Lepisosteus oculatus: one gene and its partners. The protein of the gene in region 3 interacts with the protein of the main gene of each other region in a biochemical or structural test. Links are inferred from orthologs where the notes say so. Each region holds a gene or a part of one and is shown on either strand. Other genes may lie near its edges. The genes, in order: nfe2, nfe2l1b and mafgb.

Region 1 (3,934 bases), on a different chromosome or scaffold from region 3:
CTGTGCTGGATTGTCACTGTCCGGCACCCACAAAAAAAAAAAAGAAGAAAACTGCTTGAATTTTCTCCAGCGAATGGGAAAGGCGCACTCCCTAGTGAACATCTGCTCTTCTTCTGCCTTACAACTGTCAGTTCGCAGGAATGTTCGGAGCAGGAATGTTCGGAACAGCGCAGGGCACTCTGCGCTAATCCGGCCCGTTTTATTGCCGGAACGTGACCTAAGGGTCCGACCTGGACGTCACCGGGCCGACTCAACACTTGTACTCGCGACTTCGGCTCTCTTCGTGGTTGGACCCATCCGGGCTCTTTATACCGGATACCGGCACCGAGGCCCGAGGCACCATTTTAAAAAATCCGATTATTTTCCAGCCGAGGAGCTGAAAATGTGTAAGAGCCCTCGGAAGTGCAGACAGGGTCAGACGGGCCGCGGTACCGAAGGGCTGGACTGCGGCCCTGGCTGGCCCCCATGTGGGGGGCGGATGAGGCGGCCTCGGCCGCAGTGCTCACCAGCCCGTGCTCAGCCAGGGGACCGGCGTGCCCCCGGAGGAAAGGCGGACTTCCCCAGTCTAGAGGCAGAGCCCCGGGAGAGCGTGTGACACAGTCAAGTGGAAAACCCCCCAGGAGTGCGCAATTATGACACAAATCTACCGCTGACGTTTTTGATAAGCATCCTGTATAGGTGGGTATACCAGAATATTCAGATATATATCAACAGTAATTCATCTAGCCAACGCATTGATTCATCACAAAGCGCATTCAGTGGACTGTGAAATATGAACAGGGTACGTTCATAATCTACAGCTGTACGCCAGTTAACGCCACAGGTCACACGGTAACATCCCCTCATGTAATAAGGTACAAAAATTAGACCACAGGGCTCGCAGACACAGCCTGCAGCAGGGTTTGAGGAAAACTGAGCGGCTATCTTCCTAAAGGCAGCAGAGCAACAGGCGTGAGAACACCTGTTAGGAAGTACAAACACACCTGTCCCGTTTTAAAAGAAGATTCAGCTGAGAGACACCGTGGATTTTCATTCCATCATTTACAGTAGATTCATATTGCAATGCATGCATAATGCATGAATTCCCCGTTACAGAGTTTTTTAGGTCCTAAGTTTGATTGCTCTCTGTGAAGTTATATGCTCTCTTTCTAGATAATTTGATGCAATTAGTCTGACTCTGCACCATACACTCAATAGATCATGCGTTTCTTCGACTATACATCTTGTCAGTTTGACTGAATCCCGGCATGTGAGTTCTGCTACCCTCTTTAGTGTCTGCGAGTCAGATATTTTTGCTCACACATTGAGTGAAACTGTGTTTGCACACAGAATTCGCCTGTGACAATATCCTGAATTGTAAGAATAATTCTATAAAACAGACAGGGGTAGCACTGGTGACTATGGCTGATTTAGAGTCAATCAGTAAGACAGAACAAAATACACTCAGCAGAGACCCGATCCAGCAGACTGCAGCTGTGAAAGGCTGTGTAAAAATACATTACTTACACAGCAGTAGTCCATGTATATCCAGACAGGCGGCTCACTGTTAGAGAGAGTGGCTGTGCTCTCCGAGTCATCAGCCTCAAAACACTGTATTCTACAAGCTCATTAAGTACGTTAAAGGCCAGAGAAACTGGTGGGCTGTCTCTCTCATGGGGGAGTCCTGTCAGCCCAGAGACCCAGCAACAGGTGCCCTTTACAAAACACGGAGCTACACATTCCTTTTAATCAAGAGGCAGGTCCAGGTACGCCAAGTGTTCTAATTTCATTAACACCTTTTTCTCCAACAGCCAATGAAAATCCACTACTGCCTCCACCAGCCAGCCTCAGCGCCTCCTGAAAACCCACAGACCCCACTCGAGTGCCGGCATTTATCCCTTTTCTTCTCTACGCGAGTCTGAAAACGAATTGTTTTTTGCCTTCTGCCAAAAAGGATGCAGACTAGTAAGTCTAAACTTAGCGGCGTTATTATCTGGAGCAGTTTTTGGAAGAAACATTTACAATAATACAATAGGCTGTATCTTGGTAGCAACCTTAGACGCCTTGTTAAAAAAAAAAATCTGAAGACATTTTAATGTATTTTTGAGTTTTAAAAAACAATGTATCCTTTCTTTTCCGGACTGCTGGGAAAAACCGTTCTGGCGCTGAAAGCTACACAAAACTGCAATAATTCCTTAGCAGAGCTTTGAGATTGCCAGCTCCATCATCGTCACCATCATCCTGATCCTCAGTACTGAAGTTTTTCTGCGTCTTTTCTCCTACAGTTCTGCATTCTGCACCCAGCATGTCCGCGGACCCACATCTCGTTCTGCGGCCATCCTGTACACAGGCCCTCCTGCACTGGACACACGAGCGCCAGTATCACAGAGCTCTGGACCCTCTGGCCTCTGCCCAGCTCGCAGAGGCAGGGTCCGTCAGCAGTCCTGTCCCTCGGACCGCGGCCGGGACGGACGGCGGGCAGGTGCGGAGGTCGGGCCTCAGCCGGCCGCGGCGCCGCGGATCTTACCTGAGCTGCATGTCCGGGAGGCTGGGGTTCGGACAGGTGGGCCAAGGATGACACCCTTCAGGCGGGGGGTGATAGTCCCGGGAGCTGGGAGAGAGGGGATGGGGGAGACTCCTGTGGCTCCGTGGGCTGGCCGGCTCCTGGCGGTGGCCGTTACATGTCCCCGGCGGCCGCGCCGGTTCCTCTCTCTCTCTCCCCCGTGTGTGTGAGTGCGTGCGCGCTCCCCGCTTGACAAACTCAGAAAGCCACACCGCCTGTCCCCGCTGGCTGATCTTACATAACTGGGATGGGTCTCCGATGTAACAACCTTTCCTGCAGCGCACAGACACACTGACACACACATACACATGCGCTCGCTCACACACACACACCCACCCTCTCTCTCTTATTTCCTAACTCACCGCCCCCCCCCCCCACCACACACACACCCCTCCCATCCAACCTCCCCTCCAACCAGCCCGGCTCTTCTCTTTATCTCCAGAGAAAGAGAGAAATACCACAAACTGAGAAATAAAGCCATCAGCACCCCCCGCCCAGCCTTCCCAAACTCTACCCCCTCCCTTATCCCACCTCTCCACCCCCTCGCCTGGCCGGCCCCTCCACTCCCGCCCCTGCTGTGGTGAGGAGAGCGCAGCCACTGCAGGGAAATCCACTCAGCCGCTCGGCCTTTGCAGAGCAGATGTTCCACCGGCCACAGGACGGCCCCTCGGCACCGGGGCGTCCCAGATCCCAGATCCGGGGCGGGGGGGGGGTTTGTGGAGGGTGGCCCTTTGAGGGGGTTTGGCGAGTGGGGTGCCTTTCTGAGACCCCCCCCCCACCCTGCCAATACACACACACACACAACATCCCATTTTCATCTCAACTCCTCTTTATTATCTCTTCCCCTCTTGTCTTATCGCAGACCCCCCGAATTCTCAGTCTGGCAGTCAGACGAAGCCAGGCCTCACCCAGGACACAGACGCACGCATGTGCACCCCCACGCACATCACCATGCACCCCCATGCACATACACAAGCACACACATGTACGTACACATGCACACACACAAACATGCAAACACGTGTACACGCCTACACGCAGGCACACATACACGCGCATTCCAGCGATACGCCATCTGATCAGCTGAACCCGATGAAGGGAGCTGGACGGGCCGAAACCGCCCGCCTGCAGTTCTGTCGTCGGGCCTGCTGGCCGCAGGGGGGTTCAGGCTCCAGGTCTGGGCCCAGGTGGGAGCGCTGGGCTGCCTGCACTGACGAGCAGGGCCAATCCGTCAGAGCGCCCCACCTGGCAGGTAAAGAGTTAAAGACAGCCGGCGGGGGTTGAGAGCCGTGTGTGTGGCGGCGGGGCGGGGTGGGGGCAGCAGATTGTGACTTCTGCCAGCGGGGTTGGAATGCACACCTCAAGCAGGTAAGAAAGACCGCTTTGTTCCTC
Region 2 (3,934 bases), on a different chromosome or scaffold from region 3:
GAGTGTATCTCCCCTTGCCTGCCAACCAATATGAAACAGCATTCAGGTTCAGCATGTTTACCTAAAGGAAAATTAAAATGTGTTAGATAAGATAAGATAAGATCACTTTATTAGCCATATACAATTTCTTGCATTAGGAAGTCATCTTTTCACAGACCCCAGCTTGCTCTCCATGAGACACAGACAGGGAGAGAAGCTTGGGGTCAGAGGTCAGCAGGGTCAGCTATTTATACAGCACCCCTGGAGCAGTTGGGGTTAAGCCTCCTTTGTGCAAACATTAGGATACGTTTCCCATCTCCAAAGGGGACTCAGGCCAAATGACAAAAGGTGACATAGTAACTCATATTTTCCATGAGTATATGTTATCTTTTTTAAATTTTCTTCTTCAAAATTTATTTGATTATTCCAAGCAACGTCAAGAACATATTTACCCAGGAGAATAACAATGAAGTCACTGTTAGCTACAATTAACTAATAAACAAAATGACTGTTAGAGGCTGTAAATCTTTTTAATCCGCATTAAACAACGGATTTCTCCCTGTGAGGGCTGGCGTGCCTGTGGGTTTGCATTGTAACTCCGCTCTTAAGGAACTAAACCATCTGGCATAACTGGATCAGCTTCTCCCAGCTCTTCAAGTACAATTACTTCAAAGAGACCTGGAAAACCTGCGCATCCACCCATCCTCCAGAAACACGACCTGGACGACCCTGTCAACTTACAAATCACACAGCTACTCCAAGAGGCGGGACGAACACATTGGACTTCCGGTATTGCGTCATTCCCTGACGCACAATATGAATATTCAGCACGAGGCGGGGGCGGCAAACGTCATCTGCAGCGCGCCTGGAATATTCTACGCATGCGCCTTGGGAAAAACGTGCAGCTGTAGTAGCAGAACATTTTTTGCAAGTCACGATGGGCCTGAGTAGTAGACGGCGAGACAAATATCAACATTAGCCGACATTAAATAGGAAAGGAAATACGTCTACGAGCGGATAGCGAATTCAAGGACTCGGTTTTGTATCTTGCCAGAGCACGGACTGTCAAAATCAACACACTGTAAGTATCGGAGGTTTTGACGCAAAAGATTTACAATTCAGTTACCACTCCTAAATGGTGAAGGAAAAGCCTGTGTTAGTTACCGTGTTGGTGTTCAGGAAATTGTCAAGTGTTGGGTTCGCTTTTCTCATCTAAAGAAGGGTTTTAGACAAAATGCTTGAAGCCAAATGTATTGCTTTGTGTTTGTAACAGACAGCTAAAGAAAATAACTCACTCCTATTGCCTCCCTCTACTTCCCTCTCCCATAACCACAGCGGCCTGCCCCCATCCAATCTCCATTGGCCGGTCAGAGGGAGAGTCCGGCGCGTGGGCTTCTTTCTTGGATTTCAATTGGCTGTCTGGGGTGTCAGTCACCATGGCACCACTTGTTGCTAAGCGTTGTTGCCGAGGTAGCGATAGCGGAAGTCTGCCGGCTGGGCACTTCCTGGTTTGTGTTGGTGTTTGCGACGAGGGCGGCCACGCTCGTATTTTTGTCAGTTTCGAGTACGGGACGGCTGGTGGGGAGGGTTATTTAGGAGGAGGAGGGGGGCACAGGGAAGAAGGAAAGTAACGGAGCTGGTAACGTCACTTTGGGAGGGGAAGACATGTAAGAGAAACCTTATAAATTTTCGTTCTCGCATTTTTCACCTTCATTACAACCTCGGTAACTTTATGACACAAGCCAGACGGGACGGGACAGTTGCGGAATCAGCCGACTGGAGACGGGGTTTCGTTTTTTCGAAAGGCCAGAGAGACCTTTCGAAATAATATTACATTATTGGCCATTTTTTAAAGGTTGATCGACTAATATCTAGCTTTTCAGAAACTGTTATTGAACAGACATTTGAAATTGGGATCTACCTCGTTGAGCAAAAGCACTCCATCCCTCGGATCTTGTGACCGATATTGCTGGTTTCTTCGTTTTTCTGTTTTGGTGCAAGAAGAGCTTTGTATGGCCACTGCCTTTCCTGGGAAAGCAAAGAAGGATTTATTTCCAGTTGCAAAACTTAAAAAGACCTTAAGAAGGTATTCATGAGTCCGTGCGGATGAAGAGTGGTCAGCTGTCTTTGCTGTGGAGGAAGTCCAGTTATTGCTTTTTAATAATTTCCTTTCAGTTATTGTTAATAACATCCACGGATTGGGTTCGATTCTTGAACATTTCATCCCTCATGAGCAAGCGGGTGTCGATAAATGTTTTTTGTTTCCTTGTCAAAATATAAAAGCTAGATGACGCACTGGCAGTATTGATAGTCTTGCCCATTCGGTGCAGTGGCTTAACGGTGAATACATTTAGTAAAAGCTAATACCGATTTTAGCTGAAAATGTTAAATTGTGTAGTATGAGCCCCAGAAATGTTTGAATGTATGACTTAAATTCGTAGGCATATCTAGTGAATGATTGAAATTCACGGACATGGACATGAATTCTTAATATTACAAAATACATCTTGGTACAGTAGATGAGCACGTGTCTGTTATATACTAATCCGATTACGAAAGTTAACGAAATAGAAAGTAATCTACATTTCTAGCTCAGGCATTGGAGACGAGCTTGGTGAAGTGAAACTCTGGGCTTTTAACAAGTTCTAGAAGTTTTATCTGCGACCCGAGGCGACGCGAATCGTGTGAAGCGTCGGCTTGGTTCTGTCTGAGCGTGGAGCCGTCACGGGTGGGGTGCGGGGTAGTCAGGTGCTCCCAGAATAAGAGACCGATTTGAGATGTGACAGTGTGACAAACGTTTCATGTATCATGCTTGGCTTGCGAGAGTAAGTAGGACAACCCTGGCGTTGACAATCGGTTTATCGTGGTGTTTGCTCTTTAAATACTCGCGTGGTCTACAGTCAGCTGATCGCTAGTAAATATGCATCCCCCACCCAGGCCGTGTCACGTTAACAATCGTTTGTGTACCCCGCGGTCCCGACAGGTTGTGTAGGCTAAGTGCAGTTAGAGGGGGGCTGGGCTGGGTGCCGGCGGGAGAAGGCCGGCTATTTCCCGGGAAACGGGCGGATTACATCACCCCGCCAGTTCAACCGCCGCCGCGTCTCCAGCACTTTGACAAAGTAGGTCAGCGCACCGCTGCTCTGAGCCGGCGTGGGAATCGGACTCGAGAGGAAACTGTTGCCCTTTCGTTTAGAAGGACTATTCCTTTGCTCATGGAGGGAACTTCACAAACACGTGCCTTTGCATAGGTTTGCGAGTGAAAAGGGTGGGACATGAAAAGCGTTTCAGTCATTTCTTTTTAAAATTGCAACCCCTCAGTGGTAGTTGGGGCTGGGAGGAGGAGGGGGAGTTAGTTTCTAAGCGCAGTTGCGAAATGAAGACCTGACCCCGCGGACACTCGTGTTTTTGGCAGTGTAACCCGACGCCTCGCGGCCCGGTGTCCAGTGCAACGTGCCTGCCCGGGGGGCTGTTTTGTTGTCTAGTCCGCCGTTGCCCGTGGCAACAGGAGCCTCCTGTGGCCGAGCTGCTGTTGCACCTCAAATGAACGTTTAATTCTATCGATTAAAAAAAACAAAAAAAAAGAGCGGCTTGCGGGTTTGCTGGGTCTTGTTAAGGGGCTAATCTGCCTCACTGGGGAGCTCTTGACCTGCCCGCTGGGAGAAGACTCCAGATCCACGGCAGGGGTTCCCAAGCCTGTCCCTGTGTGACCCACACGCCTGTTGGGTTTTGTTCCAGCCAAGCCCTCGATTACACAATCCAGCCTCTCTCACGTTATAATAATAAGATTCATTTGAGCAGCCCCCCTCCCCCCCCAGCGCTTAAACACACTGGAGCTTTAACCGTTGTGTTTTGTAAGTGAAATAAAATCCCAGACTTGTGACTAGCAACGGAATATTCCATTGAAACGTCTCGGATCGGTTCAGGGGCCGGTGATCCAAGGTGGGGCCGAGTGTGG
Region 3 (3,934 bases):
TTGAAGTAGAACAAGGCCAAAAACAGTAATTACAGACCACCAGTATTGACTTTAATAGACAGCACTACACTCCCACAGAGGTCTGGTATAATCCTCTAGTATGAGGGTGTCTGGAGCTTCTGACTGCATCTAGATAAGATTGTGAGACGCTCGATGTCATAAATATCAGCCTATGCCTCCACTAAACACAGACTTTTAGCCACTTGGCAATCCAGACTCCCCAGATTTTTACATCTCAAACTTTCTGTGCGGAAAGACAAAAAGGTGTTCATTTACTCCGCCGTCCCGTATTGGGGGGGAAAAAAGCGAAGAATGACCAGATCACAGCAAATTCAGCATTGCATCCAGTGACAGTAAAGGCACATTTCATCCTTCAGCCATACTTCAAAATATTTGTCTGGGAAATCGATTGTGATTCGCCCACTTCTGACTGTTATCACCTGCTGAAAATAACTAGCAAAGCCTTTCTCATATAAAGCACAACATCCATTTCGCAACAGCTTTACAGATCAAAACCGTTAAAAACAGTTTGAGTGCCACCTTTAAAGAGAAAGGCGTTATCCTAAACTGTGAACTTTAGTCAAACATCTAGTGTTTCTGACAAGGCTTTCTGACATTGACAGTCATAACGGGACAGGTAAAAATGCCTCCCACTGGATATGCTCAGCTATTCAACAATTCTCCCAGGTGTTGGGGTAAGGCATAGAAACCACAATCCAGCACAATAATCGAGGAACACTTCGGCCATGATGGAAATCAGTCAAAATTCATCCGATTCTCTGACCTGAGTCACAAGCTGGCCATCTAAAAAAAAAGGAGACGTACCACACCGATCTACTAACAGCAAGCGTAACCTGTTTCACTTCTCATTAAGGTTCACCGCTGAGTGACTTCAAAATAAGAAGCAGGAAATATTCTCATACGGAGAAAAGGAAAGTGTGTGTGTGTGTTTTACATAACACCACACAGATACATGCATTGCCCTTTTGTGATTTACAGCACAACCCCACAACAGTTCGACCTGAAGTGGGGAAAAAAATCCAAATACCACCAAGAAGTTTATTGTTCATTTCGTGGTCGTGACGGCCCTGCGGGTTTCGGGATTAACATGGCCCCTTTCGGACCCGTCTGCTGGCCCTGTGGCATCGTCGCACATCTCCCTAAACCGGCAGCAAATAAAAATCACCGATCCTTATCGCCGAGCCCAGACCTCTGTCCGCAGGTCCATGTCAGCAGTGCCTGTCCAGTGCCGCCTGCTCAGCCTCAAAATTCAACGTTGTGATGAATCAGCACATACGGTACTTTCTGAGCCGATTTCGAAATCGAAAACAAGCCTTTAGTATTTTTATAGTTTTAAAAAATAATAATAATAATAAGATAACGGTCACACGGTGTGAGAAGACGACTTGAAACACGGGCTCCGACCTACACCGTTCTCTCAAATTCTCATCCACGGTGTAAGATTACAACAATTTCTTTGTTAGTGAAACGTTTGTTCTTGATCACCCCGATACAATGAAGCGATACACCTTTTACTGTAGCGAAGACATTTTTTTCCCCCCCTTAACTGAAGGAGCGCTTTCTGCTCGCAAGAATCACATTTTTCGAGACGGGCAGAACGAGTTGGCGCTGCGAGCCGACTCGTCTCGGCGGCCAGCGGCACCAGGCGACGCTACGGCAGCCGATGCTGAGCTCACCTTACCTTCCCAGAAAGCCGGCCAGCCTGACCTCTCTCTCCGCCTTACCACAGCGCCGTCGCCCCGGCTTTCGCCCGTTTTTCAGCACGGCCCCCGTTCTGATGAAACAGCAGGTTTGTCCAGCTCAGATGCATTACACATTTCTCGGCAACACGCTCCACGCCGCTGTCTGCCAGTGTGACTGACAGGGGCTCGGCGCCAGCTCTCGCCCAGCGAGGTCCCAGACCAAGGGGACTCCCCGGTAAAACCGAGATTTTACAACCACCTTATCCTTTTGTTAAAAACCCTGTGCCTGCACGGTTCTGACCGCACTCGCCGTGCATGCCTAATGACCCAATCGTGATGAATCAGCATGTCTGGCCCTTTAATGCACTCTCTCTCACACACACACACATCGACATGCACACACCACAGATCTACAGGCAAAGCAAAGGCGTGCACACTCAGCAAAATAACACATCTCTTTCAAATGTGCCGTCCGCGATCGAAGTAAACCCGCCATCGGACTCACCAAACTCAAGGGAGACCCTCTTCCCCACCGCCGGAGGTCTGATATCGGAGTATTTGGAAGTGAGGCGCCTCTATTTCTGGGTAATTTGTAAAATTTACTCCCTCGCCTTCTCCTTGTTGATCCCTTTCTCTTGTGCCGGAGCCAGACGTCATATGATGTTTGGTCACGTGGTTTCATTCATGAAGGATCTACGCAACTGGCAAAAAGGCTTAAAGGGACCGAGGCCACATATTTTCCAAAAAGCACATTCTTCCACACCTCCCGAAACTCGCTCTTTAAAGGGACAGCCGGCTCCCCAAACCCGTATCCCCCCTCCAAAAAAACAAAAACAAAAACAAAACAACGGACTAACTAGCAGCTGTGGCTTTCGAGACAAGCTGGTGTGTTTTGGCGAATTTGGAATCACCCTGCGCCGCTTTTTTTTTTACATATAGTAAGACAGGTCGAAAAAGCAAATATATATGTATAGGTGGGGTAGCCTCAAGAAAGTTTATCTTTTAAAAGTTACATTGTTCCCAGATTATAACTGACCGTTATCCTGATGTGCGTTACAAGACACTGCGCAGTACGTGCGATGTGGTGACTTTCCGGAGTAAAGCATTCCTCAGAGCAGTACGCAAGGGAAAGTCTGAAGAGAAATGCGCAGCAAATGGCAAAACAAAATATTTAACATTCCGCCAGTTTTAGCGGGGTACTAAACGCCGCTGGTGGGGGGGGGCTCTTCTCTCGCAAGTGTAACAGTGGGAAACGCAACAGAAGTGTGTCCAGCGAGCCAGTGGTTGGCCGGGGGCAGATGTGAACGCGGCTCTGCCGAACAGGGGGGCTCGAAACGGGACAGCCCACCTGCAAAGCATTTTCGAAGAGGACTGTCGGAACCTGAGCTCCTTTTTCGGCTCTGTGGTTTGATGGGATCTGCGCACCATAAGCAGAAACATTACAGCACTTCCCAGGAATGTCTTAAAGAGGCAAGCGCAGAACAATAGGCTGCCGTTCCGAGGCGCCGGGATCTCGGATCCCTGTTCGGGAATGCCGGCGCATGTTCTCGTCAGTCTATCAAAACAAATTGCCCTTTTTATCTTTCAATGGAGGCCGTGCATGTCCTACCCTTCCCACCTTTTTTTGTGTGTGTGTGATTTCTGGACCACTGTCAAGCGCAACAATTTGTTTTCTTAAAAAAAACATTTCACAATCATGTCTGTTATCACATGTGGTTTTCATTTTGCGGAGCTGCGCATACACTGGCAAATCACTTGCACAATGTACACGTAGGCAGGGCAGTTTAATGTTAAAGTCTGCGTGACCTCTCTGCTTTTAATAGGTTCGAGACACGTAAATCCGGGCAATCTAGAAAATTTATCGTAGGATATAATATCTGTCTTTAAAAAAGTGAACTACGACACACATTTCTCTTTGGGTCCACACACAAAGCGAAAGCAGATGACTTGTATAATATCCTCATTCTTCTCTTAACTAGTTTTGTTGGAGGGGGAGGGCGGCAGGAGTGGATGTAGGCTTCAATGCAATGACTTAAATTTAGGGATCATTTGGGGGACCGTTCGCCTTTACAATACAAAGCTGCAATTACATTTTATTCTCCCCAGACGCCGGGTTCAGTGAAACTCAATCTTCTTCCTCGCAACCACCGGTCCTACAAGCGCCTGACCCAATTCATTCAATCTGTACAAACTGCGACCATCACCCCCTACAAAGCACAGCCTCGTTGAGA

What was found.
Region 1: the proteins of mafgb (region 3) and nfe2 form a complex in vitro, tested with the Homo sapiens proteins (2 studies listed by BioGRID and IntAct, with this or other methods). The link is inferred for Lepisosteus oculatus from reciprocal best matches to the Homo sapiens genes MAFG and NFE2.
Region 2: the proteins of mafgb (region 3) and nfe2l1b form a complex in vitro, tested with the Homo sapiens proteins (2 studies listed by BioGRID and IntAct, with this or other methods). The link is inferred for Lepisosteus oculatus from reciprocal best matches to the Homo sapiens genes MAFG and NFE2L1.

Annotation. Positions count from the first base shown.
Region 1 is NC_090696.1:19,490,823-19,494,756, forward strand, and holds the start of nfe2 (transcription factor NF-E2 45 kDa subunit), read right to left. Parts: upstream 2,894-3,934; 5' UTR 2,507-2,893; intron 1-2,506. UniProt on the Homo sapiens protein: Component of the NF-E2 complex essential for regulating erythroid and megakaryocytic maturation and differentiation. Binds to the hypersensitive site 2 (HS2) of the beta-globin control region (LCR).
Region 2 is NC_090723.1:8,971,922-8,975,855, forward strand, and holds the start of nfe2l1b (endoplasmic reticulum membrane sensor NFE2L1b), read left to right. Parts: upstream 1-971; 5' UTR 972-1,060; intron 1,061-1,143; exon of another isoform or gene 1,144-1,266; intron 1,267-1,479; exon of another isoform or gene 1,480-1,646; intron 1,647-1,652; exon of another isoform or gene 1,653-2,065; intron 2,066-2,997; exon of another isoform or gene 2,998-3,098; intron 3,099-3,934.
Region 3 is NC_090704.1:40,951,823-40,955,756, forward strand, and holds the start of mafgb (v-maf avian musculoaponeurotic fibrosarcoma oncogene homolog Gb), read right to left. Parts: upstream 2,924-3,934; 5' UTR 2,386-2,923; coding exon 2,209-2,385; intron 1,796-2,208; exon of another isoform or gene 1,698-1,795; intron 1-1,697. UniProt on the Homo sapiens protein: Since they lack a putative transactivation domain, the small Mafs behave as transcriptional repressors when they dimerize among themselves.